Diceros bicornis minor: one gene and its partners. The protein of the gene in region 2 purifies or fractionates together with the protein of the main gene of each other region. This does not show direct contact. Links are inferred from orthologs where the notes say so. Each region holds a gene or a part of one and is shown on either strand. Other genes may lie near its edges.

What was found.
Region 1: the proteins of ARID1A (region 2) and BCL7A purify together in Homo sapiens (affinity purification with mass spectrometry; 5 studies listed by BioGRID and IntAct, counting the BioPlex papers as one, with this or other methods). This does not show direct contact. The link is inferred for Diceros bicornis minor from reciprocal best matches to the Homo sapiens genes ARID1A and BCL7A.
Region 3: the proteins of ARID1A (region 2) and BCL7C purify together in Homo sapiens (affinity purification with mass spectrometry; 5 studies listed by BioGRID and IntAct, counting the BioPlex papers as one, with this or other methods). This does not show direct contact. The link is inferred for Diceros bicornis minor from reciprocal best matches to the Homo sapiens genes ARID1A and BCL7C.

The regions. Positions count from the first base shown.
Region 1 is NC_080774.1:8,032,172-8,039,484, forward strand, and holds the start of BCL7A (B-cell CLL/lymphoma 7 protein family member A), read right to left. Parts: upstream 3,914-7,313; 5' UTR 3,394-3,913; intron 3,141-3,393; exon of another isoform or gene 2,982-3,140; 5' UTR 2,978-2,981; coding exon 2,886-2,977; intron 1-2,885.
Region 2 is NC_080752.1:42,500,823-42,508,135, reverse strand, and holds the start of ARID1A (AT-rich interactive domain-containing protein 1A), read right to left. Parts: upstream 5,202-7,313; 5' UTR 5,172-5,201; coding exon 4,038-5,171; intron 1-4,037. UniProt on the Homo sapiens protein: Involved in transcriptional activation and repression of select genes by chromatin remodeling (alteration of DNA-nucleosome topology).
Region 3 is NC_080765.1:21,106,166-21,113,478, forward strand, and holds the start of BCL7C (B-cell CLL/lymphoma 7 protein family member C), read left to right. Parts: upstream 1-3,235; 5' UTR 3,236-3,390; coding exon 3,391-3,482; intron 3,483-4,014; coding exon 4,015-4,093; intron 4,094-4,416; coding exon 4,417-4,525; intron 4,526-4,618; coding exon 4,619-4,780; intron 4,781-6,241; coding exon 6,242-6,327; intron 6,328-7,139; coding exon 7,140-7,265; 3' UTR 7,266-7,313. Other genes in the region: CTF1 (cardiotrophin-1), read right to left, coding at 786-810. UniProt on the Homo sapiens protein: May play an anti-apoptotic role.

The DNA of each region.
Region 1 (7,313 bases), on a different chromosome or scaffold from region 2:
CCCTACCAGCCTGCCTTACTGCGACACCAGACAGCAAGGAGAGGCGAGACGGCTGGCAGCTACCGATGGGGTGGCCACAGCTGGCTGCTGGCTTTTTCCAGGGGCAGGGGAAGGGTAGGGCTGGCAGGGGATTTTTAGGGGTCACTGGGGCTGAGGTGAAACACCACCCCAGGCTTACATGCTGAACGGTATGCCAGACACTTCCGTTCTCCTCTGGATAAAACACAGGATGTCAAATTAAATTTGAATTTCAGATAAACAACGAATAATCTTTTAGTATAAGTATGTCCCAAATATGGCATGGGACATACTTATACCCATCCCCCAAAAAATTTTTTTAAAGTTATTTCATTGTTTATCTGAAATTCAAATTTAACTGGGTGTCCTGTAATTTTATTTGCTAATCTGGCAACCGAGCGTCCCAGACAGTGGTGAAATGCATGGTTGGTGGCCACGCAGTTAATAAACAACCCAGAGCCTCCAGGACCGACTGGAAGACCCGTTCTAAAGGCACAGCAAAGGTGAGATTTGGCTTCTCCGGGCTGCAGAAACCCAGGAAATAAGGTGAAGTCTTTTTTGCTTACAAGGGGCAGAAAAAAAAGAAAAAAATCAGCAAAATGCAAGTTTCCACAGAGCCCACTTTACAATAAGGAGTGCATTTAATGACGCCTCCTGTGTGCAGAGATAAGTGCTCTGGGGACACAATCTTACCCCAGGAGGGGAGACAGTGCAGGACCCCCCTCGCTGCCATGGTTAGAGAAGTTACATGCTTTGCCCAAGGTCACAGGAAGGGGGTGAACTGGAAACCCAGCCATGAGATCCCAAAGCCTGAGGTCCTTAGAGGACGTGACATGTTGTTTCCCAAAACAGGAGGAGGAAGGGAGACATGCTCTCCTCCCCTCCCCACAAACACATGCTTGGCCCACAGTGGGTTCAGCAGCACTGAAGGCCTCCAGGCGGGCTGCTCTGGGGCCCAGCAGGGTGCAAAACCCCATAGCTCCATCTGCCCTCCCTGCAGAGCAGCTGGTGGGCGGGCCCTACAGGAGCAGCTGTCAGGGTGCAGGGGCCTCTGCCCGGCTGGGAACCTGGGGCAGAAGGCCCCACCATGCCTCCTGGAACAGAGAAAGGCAGCTTGTCCCCAGCCCCTTTCTCACCTACAGGCCCAGACACCAGTTCTTTCTTTGCACAGGCGCTAAGGCAGGGGACAACTCCAGCCTTCCCTCTGGGGATCCGGTAGGAGAGGGGGTTGTGGGCTTGTTTTCCTGTGTGTGTTTTGGCCTGCAGCTGTTTCTGCCATTTTTAAATGGCTTCAGTCGGGCACTGGGCGCCCTGCACGCCGGGGGAGCTCCCACAGTACCGAAGACTTGGATCTCAACTTTGGAAGGCCTCCCCTTCTCACGGTTCTGAAAATTCTTTGTCCCATTGGAGCCAAACCCAGCCCTCGGCCGGGCATCCGGCCATCTGCAGACAGCCCTTTCCATAGGAGGCCGGGGAGCACGTGGACTTTATTGATTTTCCTCTTGCCTTTTTTGTTGGGTTTGACTCAGAAAGGACAGCTAACTTGTGACACGGTTAGACCGGAGGCTCGCCCCCAGCGGTTTTTAGAGACCAAGGCGTTACTCAAAAAATGACACCCCTACCCATAAACATACCCGCCACGGGGCCGGCCCAGTTTTTAGGCTCTAAATAAAGGGTCAGGACGAGCCCGCGGGCGCTGACACCCGAGCACGTCGCGGCTGCTCCTCTCCCTCCCCGACCCTGGAGAAGCCGTGGGAAAAAAATAATAAAGTTGAAATCAGGGAACTGGGAGTTTTCAACAAGTCTGCCCCAACCTGGCGATGTGCTCGCGCCTCCGGCCTGCCTCTCGGGCCGACCCCGAGTCAGACCCGCGGAGGCCGCGCATCGTTCGCTCGTGTTAATTACAACGAGGCCACGCCGGGCAGAACCCAACGCGAGCCTGAGGAACACGCATGGCCACCCCCGAAGCCCCCTTCCCCCCGGGCCGAGAACAAAAACAACGGCTCTCTCCGCAAAACAAACACGAGCCGCGGGTTTGGGAAAGGCAGACGCGGCCCACGACCGGTTTCTGGCCAAAAATACTCGCTCGCCCGAGCCCCCGAGTCCCCGCGCGCGGTGCCCGGCTGAGCGGGGTGGAGGGTGCCCAGCGCCCGGGGCCCGCGGCCGCCGCCGGCGTTTCCTCCCCGCGCTCGCCCCCATCTTTCTTCCTCGCCGAGAGCCCTCGCTCCAGGCAGCCCAAAGCGCTAAATTTAAACGGCTCGCGCTCTGCAAACTCCGCAGACTCGAGGGCGCCGGGCCTGGGAGGCGGGGAGCGAGCGGGCGAGCCAGCGCGCAGGGAGGGAGGGAGCGAGGGAGGCCGGCGCGGGCAAGGGCGCGGGGGCCGGCGCTGCGCCGCCCGGGGCGCGCGGGGAGGAGACGGAGACGGCGGCGGCCCGCTCGGTGCCTGCACAATGGAGCTCGCGCTCTCCCCTCCGCCGCCGGCATCACGGCCCCGGCGCGCGGGAAGCCGCTTTCATGTGACTTGCACAAAACGAAATGGCTTCTGGGGCCGGCCCCGAGCCCCCCTCCCGGGAGCCGAGCGCCGCGGCGAGGACTGCCCGCCGTCCACCGCCCGGCCCCGGGCGCCCGCCGTCTCCAGGCTCCGCCGCCGCCGCGCCAGGTGGGCGACAGGCGCGAGCGCACCTGGGCAGCGGCCGCGGCCCCCGCCTGGCGCAGGTGACCGGGCTCGCGCGCCGCCCGTCCTCTCCAACTCCTGGGCCCGCGGCGGCCCGGGGCGCTGCGCCCCGCCGGTTTTTTGTATGGGGGCTCGGGGTTCGGGGCGGCCGCGGCGCCGGCGAGGGAGCGAGCGAGGAGGCGCCTCCGCTTACCATTTGCGCACTTTCTCGATAGCCGCCATGACCCTCTTGATATCATCTTTGGCCCGGCTCCTGGTCTCGGCTCGAACCGACCTGCCCGACATGGTTCTGGCGGGGAGAGAGAGGCTGGGGAGCGCGCCCGCCGGGTCCTGCTCGCGCTCCGCGGCGGCCACACTCGCGCCCGCCCGCCCGCTCACTCACTCACACACACAGACACACACACACACTCACACACACATACACACACACAAAGCCTGGTGCCGCCGCGCGCCCGGGGCCCAGTGCGCAAGCGCCGGGCGGCAGCTGCACCGAGCAGGGGGAGCAGCGCCGCCGCGGCCGCCAGCAGTGCGGCCTCCGGGCGCCGCCGCCGCCGGGCAGCCCCACGAGCCCCCTCACCCACGCGGGGAGGCGCCCGCGACCCCCCTCCCCGGGGAGGCGGCGAGGGCTCCCGGCGACCCCCGGCTCCGGGCCCGCGGAGGGGGAGGCGGGCGGGCGGGCGGACGTGCGCGCAGACACTTACTCGGAGGCCGCAGGTGCCGAGGGGTCCCCCGGGGAGGGCGGGCCCGCGGGGCGGCCGGCCGTGGAGGGGGCGCACTCCGTGGGAGCCAGCTCGCCTGCCCGTCCGCTGGCCCGGGTTTGTGGCGGCGGGTGCAATAATGCAAGTTTCCTGTGGGGCTCCTGACTTCTCCGAGTTGAAGGCGGCGACTCGGGACGCGAGGTGCTCTTGGAAAGAGTTGAGAAACACGGATCTCTGCTGGCCCGGTGCCCCCTTTAAATACGCGAGTAGGACGTCGCTTCCCTTTCCTTCGTCCTTTCGGAAAACTCGGGTCGGAGGAAAGGTGCCTGGGGTGAGGCAGACCACGAGGGACATTCGACTTTGCTTATTAAATAGTTTTCGGCGCAGGAAAGGCTCAATGATTATCAGCATTTCAACAGGGGCGCTTCTTTTCCCCCTGGAGATAAGTTGCCTTCAACATAAGTGAGGTGAGGGGCCCGCGCTGGGGTTTCCGTAAGGGAACCACCACTTAAATTTAAGCGACTCCTCTGACTTCAGTCCCAGGCTCAGACCAGAAGCTGCTACCGCACAAATGACCCAAGCAGGGAAAATGGACCGGCCCGCCTACAAGGAGGACTTCTGAGGTGGTTTCTTCCCCATCCTGCCTCAGGACAGCTCTGGGAGGAATCTACAATTACTATCAGGATAACGCAGGTGCCGCATCTCCGCATCTTCGTGTTGGTGTTCGCAGCAGCTAAACCGACTTGACCAGAACTTATTCATGCCCTAGTTTCCCCAGATGGAGGCCGGGGAAAGCCCAGTGCCTTGGAGATAAACTAGCCCAACACCAGTCATTTTACACGCGGGGAAACTGAGTCTCAGGGAAGTTCAAGGTCACAGCCATAAGCTAGGTCTCTGAATCCCACTTATTCTAGAATCAAGCAGTTTCCCCTGAGGTTTTGGGTTTGGGGAGAAGAGCTACTAGGGAAATGGAGTACCTAATGTGAAAAATGAAGATAAGAACACTTACCTCAGGGACGGCCCAGTGGCTTAGCGGTTAAGTGTGCGCGTTCCGCTGCTGGCGGCCCGGATTCGGATCCCGGGCGCGCACCGATGCACTGCTTCTCCAGCCATGCTGAGGCGGCGTCCCACATACAGCAACTAGAAGGATGTGCAACTATGACATACAACTATCTACTGGGGCTTTGGGGGAAAAAGTACATAAATACAATTATTAAAAAAAAAACACCTCAGAGGATCATTCTGAGAGTTATATGGGAAAATATGTAACAGCAGGTTGTAAAACAGAGGTCTCATACTGTTGGCCCTCTGACTATATCTGGCCAGCAGATATATGCTTAGGGCCACACAGAACTTTTTAAAATATATATTTGAATTTACAATAGGAAGGTATATCAAAAATCCAAATATCAACTGATCAATGTCTACACAATGGAATATTATTCAGCCATTAAAAAGGAATGAAGTATGGACACATGCCACAACATGGATGAACTTTGCAAACATGCTAAGTGAAAGAAACCGATCACAAAAGAACAGATATTGCATGATTCCACTTATGTGAGATATCTAGACTAGGCAAACCCATAGAGACAGAAAACAGATTGGTGGTCGCCCAGGGGCAGGGGAGAGGGAGAAGGGGAGTGACTGCTAATGCATATGGGGTTTCCTTTTGGGGTGATGAAAAAGTTCTGGAAGTAGATAATGGTGATGGTTGTACAACATGGCGAATATACTTAATGCCACTGAATTATACACTTTAAAATGGTTACAATGGTCAATTTTATGTTATGTGTATTTTGCCACAAGAAAAAGAAATCAGAATATCTAGCTTCTCTAGAAATAGAAGATCTGCAAACTGGGCCCCCAGTGCCACATGGCAACAATCAGCTGGAGGGGAGGAGCCCAGTGCCACTCAGACAGAGCTCTCCAGGTCACTGTGTGTCACTCAGTCACTTTACTCATTTGTGTTACCAGATGGCCCCTGAAGGTATTTGTGGTTTTGATCTCTGATTAAACTGTAAAACTTGCTACAAATGTTCTTTATAAATCTAGTGTGTCCCTTTTTATAGTTTCCTGTCCCCTGTAGATATTTTTAAACTTCTTTCTTTCATCAAAGCACAGTGGTTTTAAAGTCTGTGTCTGATAATTCTAGTATCTGAGGTTTTGGAGGGTCTGTCTCTGCTGGTTCTTGCTGCTGGTGTCCTATTTCCTTGTGATCTGCCTGGTTCTCTTGGACCATGCTGGACACTGTGTCTTAAAATTTATTTGTACGGATAATTGGAGACCTGGGATGAAGTTACCTTCCTGTAGAGATGCTTTACATTTGCTTCTGCCAGCTCTTGAGGGCACTGCTGGTCCAGGACCACCCACATCCAAGTTCAGGGCTTGTGGTTCCTGGGACCACCCAGGTGATGCAAATATAAGCTGCTCAATTGAGCAAGACTGGTTTGCTTATTGTACCCTGAGTTGGGGTCAGTGTTGTGGGGCAGCTGGCTGACAGGCCTGCGCTTCCCAACTCTGTGTTCAGTGACTACATGCTGACAGTCTGAAATCAGCCATGGCAGGAGTATTGACACTATGGAAATGGGCAAATGCTATCTATACATCAGGACCCTTTCCCCAACCCCACCCGGCGCCAGTTGGTAAATATTTACCAGCATACCACTGGCGGAGGCTGACGGGGTCCTAAATTATCGTGGGCAAGGTCTTGTCTCCCACCTAGTGTGGCCCCTGGACTCTGATTTCTGGGCTGTTCCCTCAAAAAAGCCATTCACACTTAAGTTTGAATATTTTAGGCTTGGCAATTATCTGCAGGATTAAAGTGGCATCCTTGCCGATTATCTTTCAGTGTTCTCTTTTTCCTTCAATTTCGGCTACTCCTTACTATCTTGTCAGCATGTAGTAGCTTTTAGGATGTTTTTAAATACTTTTTCTCGCATTTTTAGTTGCTTTCAGCTTGAGAGTTCATCTGAATAACTAATTACCAGAAACTGGAAGTCCAGCTCTCTCTGAGTGTTAGTTGTTATTCTAGACATGTTAAAAGAGTGATCCGAGGGTTACAAGAAGGCGGTTATTGAGTTACGTTTGTGTCTGAACCTCTCTGTGCCTCATCTGTAAAATGGGGATGAACACAACACCTGCCTCGCAGAGTTGTTATGAGAATTAAAGACAATATCTGTGAAGCTCTTAGAACAGTGCCTGCCACACAGTGAGTTCTAGATACTGGAAAAGATTTGTTAAGTAAAGTACCTGTGTGATCCCTTTCATCATTATGCCCCACCCTAGGGACTGAAGTGAACTGCTCCTCTTTCCTGGGTTGCTAAATTCAATCCTTAATCCACTCCTCCTGTTACAGCTCCTCCAGGGCGAAGGCTCCTTCACCACTGGCCGGGTTGGGGTGGGGGTGGGGGTGGAGGAGGTTTCCATCTCTGGAATGGAGATGCGCAATTGTGAGGAAAGCGCAGGCCCAGCTCTGGCGTTTCTCGGCAGCCTTGGTCCTCCCCCAGCAACTTGCAGCAGCAGCAGCAGCACGTTGTTTTCATAAACAGAGGTGCTTTGGTGTTTGGGGAACAGGCCATTAGCAAGGCCTCGCGAAGGGGGAAAGCTTTGAAGACAGTGCTCCAACCACAGAAAGAACTACAGCCCCTTCCTCGGGGACAGGAACAGAAAGGGTGTGCTGCGGAGGATGACACCTCCCTCCTTTCACAGAGAAGGACGCTACAATCCAATAGCCACACAGCCAGTTAGCAGACTTCTGGCCAGAACCCCGCTCTCCTGAGGGCAGTCTCTGGGCTTCCTCGCTCCACATGCATCATAATATCGATAGTTGGACATCAGCCACGGCGGGAATACTGACACTATGGAAATTGGCAAGTGCTTTCTATACATCAGGAGCCTCCTGCCCCTCCCCCACCCGGAGC
Region 2 (7,313 bases):
AGAAGGCAAATAACTTGCCCAAAGTCACACAGCTTAATCCAGACCTGCATGTAGAACCAAAGCCTCCTCCTGAGTCCTGATTCCTGTGCTCTTTACCCCTCACCACTCTGCCACACACAACTTGATGTGCATCAGCAATGATAATGACCAACCTAAACAAGGAAAAACTCAGAGATAAAAGCCATAGGAATCAAGACTCCATTTCAGAGACCGAGGTATCCCAGCTCACTGGCAGGAAAAAAACTATTCAGTGCCAATATTTTACCCCTATTTGCATGCTTTAGTTGCTTCTAGAATTTTGGGATTTGAAGCCAATCAATACAACCTTTTAGGGGGTGGGAAGAGAAAAGGGACCTGACCATTACTTTGATAGCCTATTTCCACCTTTTAAAAAAGTTCACTAACCTCTTTGCAAAAGGCCTACTGTAGACATCACACCCTATAGGAGTCAAGCCAACATATGAATGGTTAATGCAATCCAAGACATCTTCTTACAGTGGGTGCCACTTTTCATGGTTACTCTGTATCATAAACAAAGGAAGGAACCTAAAAAAGTCCTCACAGGGCCCAATACAAAGAAGCCAACCTTGGTCTGGCTGCTTTCCCTGTTCTCTCGCCACCCTCCCAACCCCCACCACCCCGCAGTTCTCTCATGGACAGTAGAGAAACATGAAGCCCCCACAACTAAGTGCCACCTCAGTATGGTTTTCCTAGTTCCTCCTACTTGAGAGAGCTCCAAGAGTCCTGTATTTCAGCCAGCCCAGAATTTCTGCCAGTAGGCATTCCCATGGTAAGTCCAGGATTCCTGTATTTGTTTCCCAGGAGTCAGAAATATCATTTGATATTTCCATAGCAGGAACTAACAGCCAAACTTCTACAATCAAATCCATGTTGATCCTGGACTACATATTCTATCTCATTTTTTACTTTGGTGAGCTGGTACTACTCTCGAGGTACTACAGCTAAAAGCATCCCAAATAAAAAAGCTTTACATGAGGTTCCAGTGCACAGGAAACTGAAAAGTATTTCATCAATAGCAGGATTCAACACTGTGAGACACAATACTACTTATGGAAAGCAACAAAGGAAAAGTTTGTCTGCTGGGATCTTCCCAGCTCCTGTGAAAGACATAGCCACGATACACACACCCAGTCTTTATTTCATAAAGGCAAAGTCAAATGAGAACATTACCACCTTAGCTGTGTCAATCAAGTCTCTGTAAAATACTCTTAATCCAAGACTGAGTTAGGGAAAGAAGGGGACAGAGCAAGACCCTATTATTTAAGAATGCTTAAGAATAGGGCATCATGGTCTGAGACAAGAAGTTTGTCCTTAAGTAGAAAAGAGGAATTCAGAACAAAATCGATCCACCTACAACCCTCATCTAGACTACATATCTGAAGCAGCCCACAAAACTGGAAGTTGCACTGTCTCTTCCAGAAATGCATGCTCACCAGCCCATTCTCTGGGTCTCAGAGAATGAACTGAACTGAAATCGAACAGGAGGAATCTATGTTGTGTGAAGTGCTGGGTCTGGTGAGGTTAAAAGGGAATCAGAAAATTCACCCAAAGGCAGCACAGACAAGCTTCCAAACAGGGACTGTATCTATTTTCTTATCATTTATCCAGCACAGAGCATAGTATCCAGCAAATAGAAAGGCTCAAATATATGTTTAATGAAGGAAAAACAGAAACCACTATAGGGCAGAAGTTGGTTTTATAAAAAAAAAGTATTTGCCCAAATGTCCCCAAACCAGCAGAATTCAAATTAATTTTTGCTTTTGAATGAGCCTGGACTTACCTCAAATAATTTCCTCTAATAGTTTAAGAAAGATAAATATCTCAGCCACCTCCCCCAAAAAGGGGAAAGAATGAGGTGTAGACTATAGAATGACCCAGAGACAAGATGATGTTTTGTTTTCTAAGACCAAACTGATCCTCTAGACACTAGAAATCCGATTTAAAAGTCTCCTATTTCTTGCCCAGATGTAGAACATCATGGAAAACATGGAGTCAAGACACAGAACTCTAAACCTGCCATCTAACACAACTATTTTCAAAATTCCCAGCTCAATGGAAGAGTAGAAAAGCAGTCCTAGGATGGGGAGGGAATACAGCTAATTAGCCCGCCTAAGTAAACAAAATCTTGTAGCACAAAGGTACAATTGGGTACTGCTGGGAGGAGGGGACACGAACAGAGCTTTTTTACCTCTTTGAAAAGTTACATGACTCCATAGACCACCCAATATTCCTGACCAAAGCACTGAAGACAGAAAACAATGAAGACGGAAGAAGAGCAAAACAACAGTAAGATAGAATGCATAAAAACATACCTAAAAGTTGTCATTTCTAAGCAAATCTTTAGTGTCATTGTAAAATGTACGTTTACTATCTTGGAAGATAGAAAAAAACGGAACATACTTTAAAATGCAGAGAGAAAAACTGGTCAACCTCTATTTCAAAGCTTTAAAACGACTGATGACAAAAAAGAAAATTGGCCTTTTTGATATTCCAGGAACAAAGGACAAATTTCACCAAACCAAGGCTTTAGGAGAAAGTCCCTCTCAAGATCATGAAAGATGTTAGCTTCCCTTTAAATTGAGCTGCTCTCCCAAAGTTCAGTTAACAAAAGAAAAGTGTTAACAAGATTCAACACCTAAAGAATGAGACCAGCCATCCTTAAAACACTTGAACCTAATAAGAAATCTCTCTCAGAAAACTTACAGTTCTCAAAAAAAAAAAAAAAAAATTCCCCTATCCCCTCTCATAAAGATCCTAGTTTGCCACTCAATAAACAGCCCAGTAAAATAATTTCAATTCTGCAAAGCCAACAGGGTCAAAATTACTCAAGACAAATGCATCTTCAGAGCTATCAAAGAAGTCATTTATACTATCAGGAAAGTCACAAAACCAAAACAAACAGCAAACCCATTGTAGAGAAAAACTCAGCTACTGTTCTGACAACACAGAATCTATTTCAGGCTGCATAAAACATAACAAGCAAAATAAATCCAAGGTACACGCAAAATGCCACTGCCTCCTCTTTTGTTTCGGGCACAATGTAACAAGGGCAGCCTGTCTAGGGCTCTGCTCCTGCTGATACAGTATTGCTGCTTAAACCTCCCTCCTCAAGGTCACAGCCAATTTCAGTTCTGGAATAAAAGGCAGATAGTGGCAGCGATGGTTTGGGTTATCACTGGCAGAAAAGCAGAGTGTAAAAGTTTATGAGCTCATCAGGATTGTTGTACCATTACATCAGAGGCAATTATAAATGGCCAAGAGCAGGAGATGGGGAGCCAATCAGATCACAGATAGGATGTCAACCTAAGACCAACTGTCTCCTGGCTTTGACAGAAGGATTTTACCTCCATAATTCAAATCCCAAACCAAAGCAATCTGCACTTACTACTCCAATCACTCAGCTGTTTACCAGCACTTCCAGGGAGAAGCCCAGGCCACTGGGCCGACGGAGACTAAGACAAGAGATGGCCCGGGCTGCCCCGGGTGAACCGCAGCCGGCCTCTAGCTGCCCCCAAGCAGGCCCCTGCCCTCCTTCGAGGTCCCCTCGAGCCCGAGGGGCCCCTCCTTGAAAGCACAGATGGGGGACGGCCTAGAGGAAGGCAGGGGGGGCAGAGAGGAACGGCAGGTGAGCAAAGAACTGTTCACTCAACTTCCGAGCTCCTACCACTGCCTACACCCCTAGCCTAAGCCCCCAGAACCCCCTCACCCCAGGCAGGACCCTTCCCCGCACACTCTGCCCCGCACCCCCTTGAAGATCCTCGGAGTTCGGAGGGACCAGGGGAGAGGGAGAAGGGGAGCAGACACCTCAGGGAAAGCCCCACACAAAGGCTGAAGGAGAGAAGGAGAGGAAGGCAGACAGGCAGCCATTTTAAGAGAGAAGAGCCAGACAATGGCAGCTCCCCAGTAATGGGGGCCCCGGACTAGGGGTAGCCCACGGCTGCGGCCTGCTCTCCGCAGCCGCCACCCACTCCCAGGACCCCGCTCGCCCCAGCCCCCTCCCCCACTCAGCTGTGTACCTGCGGGGTCCGGGCGAGCGGCTGGCCCCCGCCGCCGCTGCTCCCGGGGCTCATGGGCGCGTGGTGGCTCCTTTGTTGGGCCCCTCCCGAGGCGGCTGCCGCCGCCGCCGCCGCCGCAGCAGCAGCCCCCCAGCACTGCGAGGCCATGTCCGCCGGGCCTTTGCCGGCGCCCCCGTCCTGGGGCCCGCCGCCGTAGTCGCCCCCGGGGTAGCCCTGGTAGCCCCGGGCTGAGCTGGGCGACGTGAGCAGTTGGTTGAGGGTGGGGGTAGCCGTGGGCTGGGGGTTTCCCCCGCCGGCCGCGGAGGGGCCGCCTCCCCCCATGGCCCCGAAGCGCTGCTGAGCGAAGGACGACGACGACGAGGAGGCGGAGGCGCTGGAGGAGGGAGGCGGCTTGGAGCCGGCGGCCGCCGCCGCGCCGGAGCCCGGAGTGCCACCTCTCGGGGAGCTCAGCGCGTAGGCCTGGGGGGGCGGGGGGTAGGCGCTGCGGTTGGGGTAGTAGGAGTTGTACTGGTGGTTGGGGAAGCCGTGGTCGTGCGAGTTCTGCTGGGGCCCCGCGTAGGGCTCCAAGCCCCCGCCGCCGCCGCTCTGCAGCGCTGCCAGGCCAGGGCTTTGTTGTCCGCCATGTTGTTGGTGGAAGACGGCGGCCGCCGCGGCGGCGACGGCAGACGGGCTCCGGCCGTAGGGTTGCCCGAAGCCGTAGGCTGGGGGCGGCAAGGCGGCCGCGGCTGAGTGAGGAGGCGCCCCCACCCCATCACTGCTGCCGCCACCGCCGCCGCCGGGCGGCTCCGTGAGGTTATTGTTCAGGGCGGGCCTAGGGCCCGCGTTCCCGTTCGAGTTCTTCAGGTCCGGCTCCGCGCCGGGCCCGCCGCCGCCTCCGGCTCCGCCGCCGCCGCCACCCCCATTGCTCTCGGCCCCGTCCTGCAGCTCCTTTCCCAGCGGCTGCGGCGGCCCCACGGCGGGGCCCTCGCTTTCCTGCCCGGCGGCTGCCTTCATTTCCCCGCGCTCGGCCGCTGCCGCCGCCGCCTCGCCCCCTGCCTCCTCCCGCTGCTGCTGCTCCGCTTTCTTCAGCTCCGAGGGCGGCGGCGGCGGGTTGCCCAGGCTGCTGGCGGCGGCGGGGGCGACCTGCGCGGCCATGATCCCCGCTGTCTCGTCCGCGGAGAGACCCGGCCCTGTCTTCGTCTTCTCCCCCCCTCCCACCCCGCCCCGGGGCTGAGTCCCCCGGGCTGCCCTCCCCACCCGCCCGGGCGGGCCTCGCGGGGCTCCGCTGCTGCGCTGCGCTCGCTCGCTCCTCTCCCCCCCGCCCCGCCGGCTCAGGCTCCGGGCTGGCGGCGGCGGAGGAGGAGGAGGCGGCGGCGGCCGAGGCGCCGGCGGCTCAGCTGCTCCCGGCTCTGTAGGCTCGGGACCCGGCTCTCCCGGCTCATTCCCCCCAAGCCCTTGCCTGGGAATGAGGGGGGCGGTGGAGGCTCCGCTCCCCAGGGCCTGGCCCCGCTGTGACTCTCCGCTTTCTGCTGCCGGAGAAAGGAGGAGGGAGGGAGGGAGGGAGGCGAGGGGGAGGGGGCGGGGAGGGAGGGAGGGAGCGGGGGGAGGGGGACCCGGGACGGGCGGGCTGGAGGGCGCGCGGCAGCAGCCCGGGTGCCGGGAGGCAGAGTCGGAGCGCAGGCTGGACCGGACGCCCTGCCTCCCCTCCCCGGCCGCGGCGCCGGCCGAGGCTGCTGCGCGGCAGCGGGCGGGCGAGCGGGCGGGCGGCCGGACTGAGCGGCTAGAGCGCCCCACTCTCCTCCGAGTCCCCCTCACTCCGACACGAGGCTCAGCACTGCCATTTTACCCAGCGCCGTCGCGGCCGCCTGGCAAACCCGGAACGGAGTGCGGAGCGGGCGCAGGCCGTGGAACGGACTCGCTCCCTTCCCCTCACAAAGGAGGAGGGGAGAGAACGAGCCGCGGCGGCGGCAGGCCCTCTGCCGCTTTCGCTCGGCAGCGCCGCCGCCGAAGGCTTCGGGGAAAACCCGGCCCGGAGCTCGCGCGTCTCCGGAGCCTGCGCCGCCTCCCTCCTGGCGTTCCTATCCGGGTCGGTCCCCTCCAGGCCGCACTGAGAGGAGCGGGCGGCGTGAACTTTACTCGCGGCTGCAAAATTGGCCTGAGCCCGAGACCGCGGCCGCCTCGGCCCAGGCCTGACCCCCTGGCAGCGGGCCTGGTCTCTTGGCTGCTTCTTAGCACCTCTACAGCACTTTTCTTCTTCAAAGCCTTTTAGAAACCCGCTCTAAAGACCCAGCTGAGTGAGCAAAGTGGGGCCTTACGTTGTACCCCCTTGGCAAGCCGAATGGAATGACAGATCATTGTTCAGACTTTCCATTTTCCCACTCCCCTGCCCTCATTAGCCTGTCCTCACAAGGCCCTGGGGGCATGAGGTCTGAATATACCCATTTTACAGAATTAATAAACAGAGAGGAGAGGACTGCCCTGTCACTTAAAGTCAGAGGGCGGCTTTAAAAAGTAGCAGAATCCCCAAAGCTGCCCTTGTCCACTTAGCTTTAAAAAAAAAAAGTGGTCAATCCACTTTGTGGATTGTGCCATATCCAACAATGGGATAAGAGTATCAGAATGGGTTTGAGATCAAAGCTGGTCATCTCAACACTGACTTGAAATAGTTGCCACTGAAGCTACTTTGGGGGCATATGACAGCCTTCTAGCAGAAGAACCCAAGCTCCATCTTTGCCTCCTAAGAGAACTTAGCCCACAATGAACAATAGCCCCAGTCTCCAAAGATAGTACCTGTAAGACTATAAACAGACCACAGAAAAGGCTCCCAGGACTGGAGGAACCTGAGTGTTCAAAGGGACCACTGCAGAAGAGGGATGGCCAAACCGAGGTAAACCATTTTCTCTTTAAAGAGAGAAAAGGGGCAGTCTAACAGGTCACTTAGAAAATGGATGCAACCCAAATTTGTTTTCTGTCCTCCAGCTTAAAGATTCTTCAGAGTTTACCATTACACTCTAAGAGATGCTGATTGAGCTGGAGGCATACATAAGAAAACTCCAGATCTACAGGCCCCACCAAATCCCAGCAACAGCCTTTTCCTCCTCAGGCTGATTTGGAATGCTCTGACATGACAGGCTACAAAAGCCAGAGGGGATTCCAGCTCCTCATCAGGCCGAAGGCTGCCTTGGGAGAGGCCCAGGCCAGTGTAGTCACTAGACACCAGGGCCTCCTTTCCCCTTAGATTTTATAAAATGGAGACTTTATTGCCATAGAACCATTATCTTAGAACTTCCAGATTCT
Region 3 (7,313 bases), on a different chromosome or scaffold from region 2:
ATCTGCCTCAGCCTGGCAGCCCTTTAAGGGTAGCTCTGTAGCTCAGTGATTGTTGGTGGAATTCAAGTCAGAATGCGCCTTCAAGGCCATTTTACAGATTGGGAGACTGAAGTCCCATTCCCTCCCTGATGGCTCTTCTGTGCAAGGCGCTGGGCTGGGCACCGGGCAGCGTCAATGAATCAACAACTGGCCTTCCCTAGCACAAGCTACGTGTTGGCGGGGAGGACTACATTTCCCGAGAAGCCCAGCGCGCGAGCCCAGGGCATGCTGGGGAATGTAGTCCTGGTCTGGCAACTCCCGCCCCGCCCCCCGCCCCCACCTGAGTTTCCCACCGCCAGTCCCTATCCTTAACAGCCTCGACTTTCGTCTCCTGTTGTTATTCACTAGCTCCTGGGGCCCAAAGACTTCCTCCCCTAACCCTACCCCTCCCTCTGGCCCCCAGCTCCGATTCTTTCCCAATACTCGGAGAAGATCCAGGCGTCCTGCCCCAGCCACGACCCCAGTCCTCCCCCAGGGTGTACTCGAACCGGTGATCTAACTCCTGAGCCCAACTCCCTGAAGGCACAGCCCCAGGCCTCCTCTACCTCTAAACTCTGGCGCTTGCTGTTTCCCACAGCTCACCCACAGCTCATCTGCTCGTTACCCTGACACCGGGGCCTTGCTCTCCCCCGCTCAGGCTGCTCCCTTCCCGGACCCGGGGGTGGCGGGGACCCAGACCCCAGCTTCCGGCCCTTCTGACCTTTGTTCCCCTCGGGAACTTGGCACCTGGCCCTTCAGCCCCTTACCCAGACTTCCCTCCCTCCGGCTCATGCTGGCCCCTGGCTGATCCCGGTTGCCTCCACGCCCCCGGTCCGAGGGGGGAGAAGGGGAAAAGGGGTAGGGGCGTGGCCCGGACGCAGCCAATCAGGGCTCAGACCCCAAACAATCCCCCTCCCCCGCCAAAGCCTTAGACAGGATTCCTTGGCCCTGAGCTCAGCTCCTTGCCTGCGCGGCCTAGTTGGGAAAGGGGCCTGAGAAGGGCGGCAGGTTGTCCGCATGGTTGACTCGGGACCTCGAGGCTGGGGGTGCCGGGACCTGGGAGGCAGACCTGCGTCACGTCGGGAGGAGGAGGCTCAGGCTCCGACCTGGGGCAAAGGTTGGCCCCCGGGCTGCTTATGGGAAAAAGCTGAGGGGATAGGAGAGGGCGGGGCTGGCAGGACAGGAATGTGCTGGCCCTTCCTCTTGGCTGGGGGGGAGGGAGGAACGGGGTGTGAGAGAGGCCGCGATGGGGGCCCTCAGGCTTGGGCCACACCTGCCCCGGCATACACCTCCTGGCGTGTCTTAGATACCTTCTGCCCTCCTTCTCGTTGTCACATCTACTAGGAGGGAGACAGATACCATCTCACCTCACCTCACCTTACCAGGCCCAGTAAGAGAACCCGTCTGACACACCCACACCTACTGAAGCATTAATGCATACAGACCTTCATTCTCACACAGGAACAAGCTTAAGAGACAGGTACAGGGGGTCATACCTGTATGTCAACCCCACTAACCTGGTGCAAACACACTTATCCCCACAGATGGTTCCCAAGCACCCACTCTGTCCTGGGCTCTGGGACCCAGAGATGATCCATACTTGGTCTCTGGCCCCCTGAGGAGCTCACAGAATGTTGGGGGAGACCATAGGCAACAGCAGGTAATGAGGTTTGTGAGTGAAGGGACTAGGAAGGAGGCCTGTGTGTCTGTGAGGATATTGCCATGAGCAGACAACTGCCAGAATAAAGTAAGAAAGAGATTAACTGGCAGAGGGCACAGCAGGTGCAACTGATGGTAGGGGCCACAATCACACACTTATTAACAGTGACTATTTCTTGGGTATTTACAATATGCAAGGCACTGTTCTAAGAGCTATATACATATTAATTCAGTCCCATGTTATAGTTGAGGAAATAGAGATAAGTGACTCGTCCAAGGTCACTGGACAAGCAGAGCTGGGATTATACTTCGGCAGTTTGGCTCCAGAAATGCTGTCATAACCACCTTCCTATACCTTAACCCCTCTGGACATAGTCACACCAAAACACACAGACACCATAGCTACGTAATAGCTAAACACATGCACACACAGCAACACAAACTTAGACATGTCATATCTGCTGGCAAACAGCCTCAAAATCAACCAAGATACATTTTAAGTAAACTTTTAATTGAAGTATAATATACATAGGGAAAAGCGCACACATTGTAAGTGTACAGCTCAATGTATTTTCAGAGTAAACATCCCCAGGGAATCAGCACCAGGTTAAGAAACAGAATAGGACCAGTTCCCCGAGCCCCCTCTCAGCCCCTCCCAGTCCCAAGGATGACCACTATCCTGACTTCTCACACCATAAATTAGTTTTGCCTTTTTTTTGAACTTCATATGAATGGAATCATACAATGTTTACTGTTGAATCTGACTTCTTTCATGAGATTTGTCCCTGTGGTTGGGTGTAGCAGGACATCATTCTCTTGCTGTGTCCATGGTGTGAACAAGCTATAGTTCATTTTCCACTCTCCTGTTGATGGGTTGTTTCCAGTTTGAGGCTAATATGAATACTGCTATGAACATTCCAGTACACTCTCTTGGTGCTCATACCTACGCATTTCTGTTGACGACCTGGGAGTGGAATTGCTAGATCATAGGGTCGGTGTATGTTCGTCTCCACTAGAAAACTACCAATTTACACTCCCCCAGAAATAGGAGAGGTCCAGTTGCTCTACTTCTTGGCCTGCACTTGATATGGTCCGTCATTCTCATTTTAGTCATTCTGGTGGGTGGAGACCCACTCATATTTGCAGTGTCTGGTACGCAATCGTCACTCAGTTAATAGATAGTTGCAAGAATGGATGAAGGAATAGTCGGGCAGGCGGGGGTGGACACACACACACACACACAGCCTTTCAAGGACACTCACGCGCAGCGGACGCGCTCCGGTACCCAGACCGTCTCGCACCCCCCACCCCCACCCCCGGCGTCCACGTGGTCTGAACGCACCGCCTCAGCCCTGCCGCTCTCGTCCACTCCTCGAGCTGCCCCCAACCTCCCTCTCGGCGGCGGGCAGGGGGCGCTGCGCGTCGGGGCGCCCCGAGGGGGCGGGCCCGGTCGGGGCGGGGCCGGCCGGCTTCCAGGCCTGGGCTCTGGCCGCCCGCGCCGCCGGGCCGCTCTGGGGACGGGCCGGGGCGGGGCGCGGCGGCAGGAAGCGGGGCGGGGACTCGTGCAGGCTTTGGGGAGCGAGGGAGGGCGCGGCCAACTCCCGGAGGGACGGCAGGCCGAGAGAGCGGCGTCCCGGCCTGGCGCCGAGCCTGAGCCCGCCGGACGGGAGGCGGCCCAGCCGCGGGCTCGGCCTCGGCCCCAGCCCCGCCAGCATGGCCGGCCGGACCGTGCGGGCCGAGACCCGGAGCCGGGCCAAGGATGACATCAAGAAGGTGATGGCGACCATCGAGAAGGTCCGGAGATGGTGAGCGCTGCCCCGGGGCCGGGGACGGGGCATGGCGGGGCCACTCCTTCCCCAAATGCGTCTACCCTCCTTTCGCCAGCTGTGGCCCCCAGTTGTTAGGTGTGCCCCCTAGCCGCGTCCTGGATCTACAGGGCTGTGTCCCCTTTCTCCTGGCTACACCCTGGGGTGTACAAAGCGTGTTCCCCAGCCATGCCCTCCCAGAGCAAGAGCCCCCATATATGCCCCGCCCCCTAAAGCTTTGACACTCCTCCCGCAAGTATGCCCCGGGATCTTCATTGCTACCCTCTCCAGCCGGCCCGTGGCCGCGCTCCCTATGTATACCCCAGGGGTCTGCAGAGCCATGGCCCATTGGGCCCATGTATGTCCTGGGGTCTGCAGAGCTCTCTTTCTTCCTCTAACTATGCCCTATTAGCAAAACTGCCCCTTCCCTCGTGCACCACCCACACGTCTGCTGGTATCCCCAGATGTGTCCAGTTCCTGGGGGGGATCTCTTTTCAGGCCTCTCTGACCCAATTCCCTCACCCTCCCACAGGGAGAAGCGCTGGGTGACTGTGGGCGACACTTCCCTTCGTATCTTCAAGTGGGTGCCAGTGGTGGACCCCCAGGAGGAGGTGAGCAAGCTCCCCCACACCAGGCCCTGCATCTGTGCAACAGCAGGCAAGCCCCTCCCCACCCTGGCCTCCATCTCCAGTCCCCACTCAGACCTCAAATGCAGCAGCCCAAACAGATGTTAACAATTATTAGCAACTCCACCCCTTCTCCCTTCTTCCTACTCCAGATCCCTGAGTTCAAGACCTAACCTCGTGTGCACAACCTCTGTGACCTCATGCAGGGCCTTTTGCTTCTCTGTGCCTCAGTTTGCTTATTTGTACAGTGGGGGCTTTGCAAGTACTGACTAGAAAGCTGGCTCTGACCCTTACCCTCTAACCCCCAGGAGCGACGGAGGGCAGGAGGTGGGGCAGAGAGATCTCGAGGCCGGGAGCGTCGGGGCAGGGGTGCCAGTCCCCGAGGGGGTGGCCCTCTCATCCTGCTTGATCTCAATGGTATGTAGGGATCCTGGAATTTGGGGGGCTGTGGGGATTGAGTGAGGGGACTGAGGGCCTCAGGCCCAACCCTCTTGGCTTTTGCTCCCACAGATGAGAACAGTAACCAGAGTTTCCATTCGGAAGGCTCCCTGCAAAAGGGCACTGAGCCCAGCCCTGGGGGCACCCCCCAGCCCAGCCGCCCTGTGTCACCTGCCGGACCACCGGAAGGGGTCCTGGAGGACGCTCAGCCCCCGCGGCTGGGCCAGGAGAGAGGTAGGACCAGCTGCCTCCCAGGAGCCCTCTCTTCTGAGTCTTGTCCTCTCCAAAGTTGAAGCCACCAGCTTACTCCTACAGCTGCTCCCTATCCTGTGTTGCCTCCTTAGGGAGGCCTTCCCTGACTCCCGAGGGAAGTCACTGCCCTACCTCTGACAACTGTCTGTCTCCTTCCTCTGGCTTCTTAGGGTCTGTAGATATTTATCACTATTCGAGATTTTCATGTAAATTTAACTTTTTACTACTTAAATGTCTTTCTCTCTGATTCCCACCTCATGTCAGCTTCCTGAATGTTGGGCCCATGTTGATCTTGTTCACTATTGTCTCCTCAGAACAACTTGGGACACATAGTAGGTGCTCAATAAATATTTGTTGAGGAATAAATAATAGTGATAATCCTAAGAGTGATAAATAAGTGCTAATAACATTTACTACTTATTGAGCTCTTGCTGTGTGCCAGGCACCCTTCTAAGCACTTTACGTGTTTTATTTCATTTAATCCTCACTACAACCCTCTGAGGGTTATAATCCTGTTATGATCCCCATTTGTAGACGAGAAACCAAAACCCAGAGAAGTTAAGTGAGTTGCCTAAGCTCACAGCCAATGAGCCAGCATCTTGGGCATGAGTCGTCCTCACTGCTCTTTCTTCCATATAGTCAATCACCCGTCTGGTCAGTGCCACCTCCCAAATATGTCTGCCTTCCTCTCCCTCCCCGGGCTGTCATCTCTCTCACCTGTTCCTGGCTCCAGCCTCCTCATGGGTCTCCTCTCCTCCAGTCGCCCCAGCACAGCTGCCAGAGCAACTAAAGCACAAGTTCGACTGGGTCATTTTCCTGCTCAGAGCCTTCAGTGGCTCCCTATGGCCTTTGACTCTGCAGCTTGGCACTCTGGGCCCTTCCTGAACTGTCCCCTGCTGACCTCATTGTTCCCTTCCAGGAACACCATGCCTTGGGCCTACAGACTGTATCTAGACTGTGCCCGGCACGTGTATACCTTTGCTAACATAAAACCAGTAACTGGCATTTACTGAGCACTAACTGCGTGCCAGACACTGTGCTAAGGGCTTTACCTGTATTCTCTCATTTAATCCTCACATGGTAATTACTATCATTATCTCCATTTTACAGATGGGAAAACTGAGGCCCAGAGAAATTAAGTCAGGTCAGGATTTGAAGCTGGGCAGTCCAGCCCCACAATCTGTGCTGGCTAAGCAAATGTTCCCTCTGCCTAAAATGTGCTCTACCTCCCCATCTGTCTGCCAGATCAAATTCTACTCACCTGTCAAGATCCCACCTAAATGTTATTCCTGTGTCTTCCTCCTGGGTTGCAGCCAGGTTCCTGGCTCCCTCCTCAGTGCTCCCACAGCCTGTGGGCTTATGTGATTGGTGTTTGTTTCCCCCTGGTTTGCGCTATGGCACAGAGCGGCTGCTCAGGGAATGTCTGTTAACTTGACGTTCCAGATCCTGGGGGCATAACTGCAGGCGGCACCGACGAACCCCCAATGCTGACCAAGGAGGAGCCTGTTCCAGAATTGCTGGAGGCTGAGGTGAGAGAGGCCAGAAGGCTGGACTCCTGGGTCTTTGAGGGAATGGGGGCTCTGGGGCAGCCGAAGGCTTGGAGGCTGTACTCCTGAGGTCCAGGCAGGAAATGTAGACCTCAGACGCAGCTAAAGGCTTAGAGGCTGGGTTCTTGGGACTGAAAAGGAAAGGGTGTTTAGAAATAAAGATCTGTGGGCTGGATCGGGGCTGATTTAAGACCATTAAAAGCCTGAAAAGATCATGGTGCTCCTCCAAGTTTTTTTTTTTTAATCCTAAACTATAAAATTAGCTTAAGGGCTGGACCCGTGGCAGCACAGTGGTTAAGTTTGGCGTGCTCCTCTTTGGTGGCCCGGGTTCGGATCCTGGGCGCGGACCTACACCACTCATCAGCCATGCTGTGGCGGTGACCCACATACAAAATAGAGGAAAATTGGCAGAGATGTTAGCTCAGGGCTAATCTTCCTCAAGCAAAAAAACAGAGGAAGATTGGCAACAGGTATTAGCTCAGGGCCAACCTTCCTCAGCCAAATAAATAAATAAATAAAATTAGCTGAAGAAAGTCCCCCATAAACCTCTGATTTTTCCCATAAGGACTACCTTGATGCATTTTCCAGAAATATCAAGTATCAACTTCTTTCCCCAAAACAGTGTTGTGGTTGTTTCCGGTGCCCTATGTAATCTGCATCCCGGGTCCCTGGCCCTGGGCTAGACTCCTGGGTCCGGGAGGGGAGTGGAGTGGAGGCCTTGGAGAAGGCAGAGGCTAGGAGACTGCACTCCTGGGTCTGGGTAGAGCTCATGCCTGTCCACCCTTCCTCTCCAGGCCCCCGAAGCTTACCCTGTCTTTGAGCCAGTGCCACCTGTCCCCGAGGCAGCCCAGGGTGACACAGAGGACTCGGAGGGCGCCCCCCCACTCAAGCGCATCTGCCCAAATGCCCCCGACCCCTGAGAAGCCGGCCTGCCTGTCCTGTCGCCCCCGGGGTCCCTTTGGCTTTTT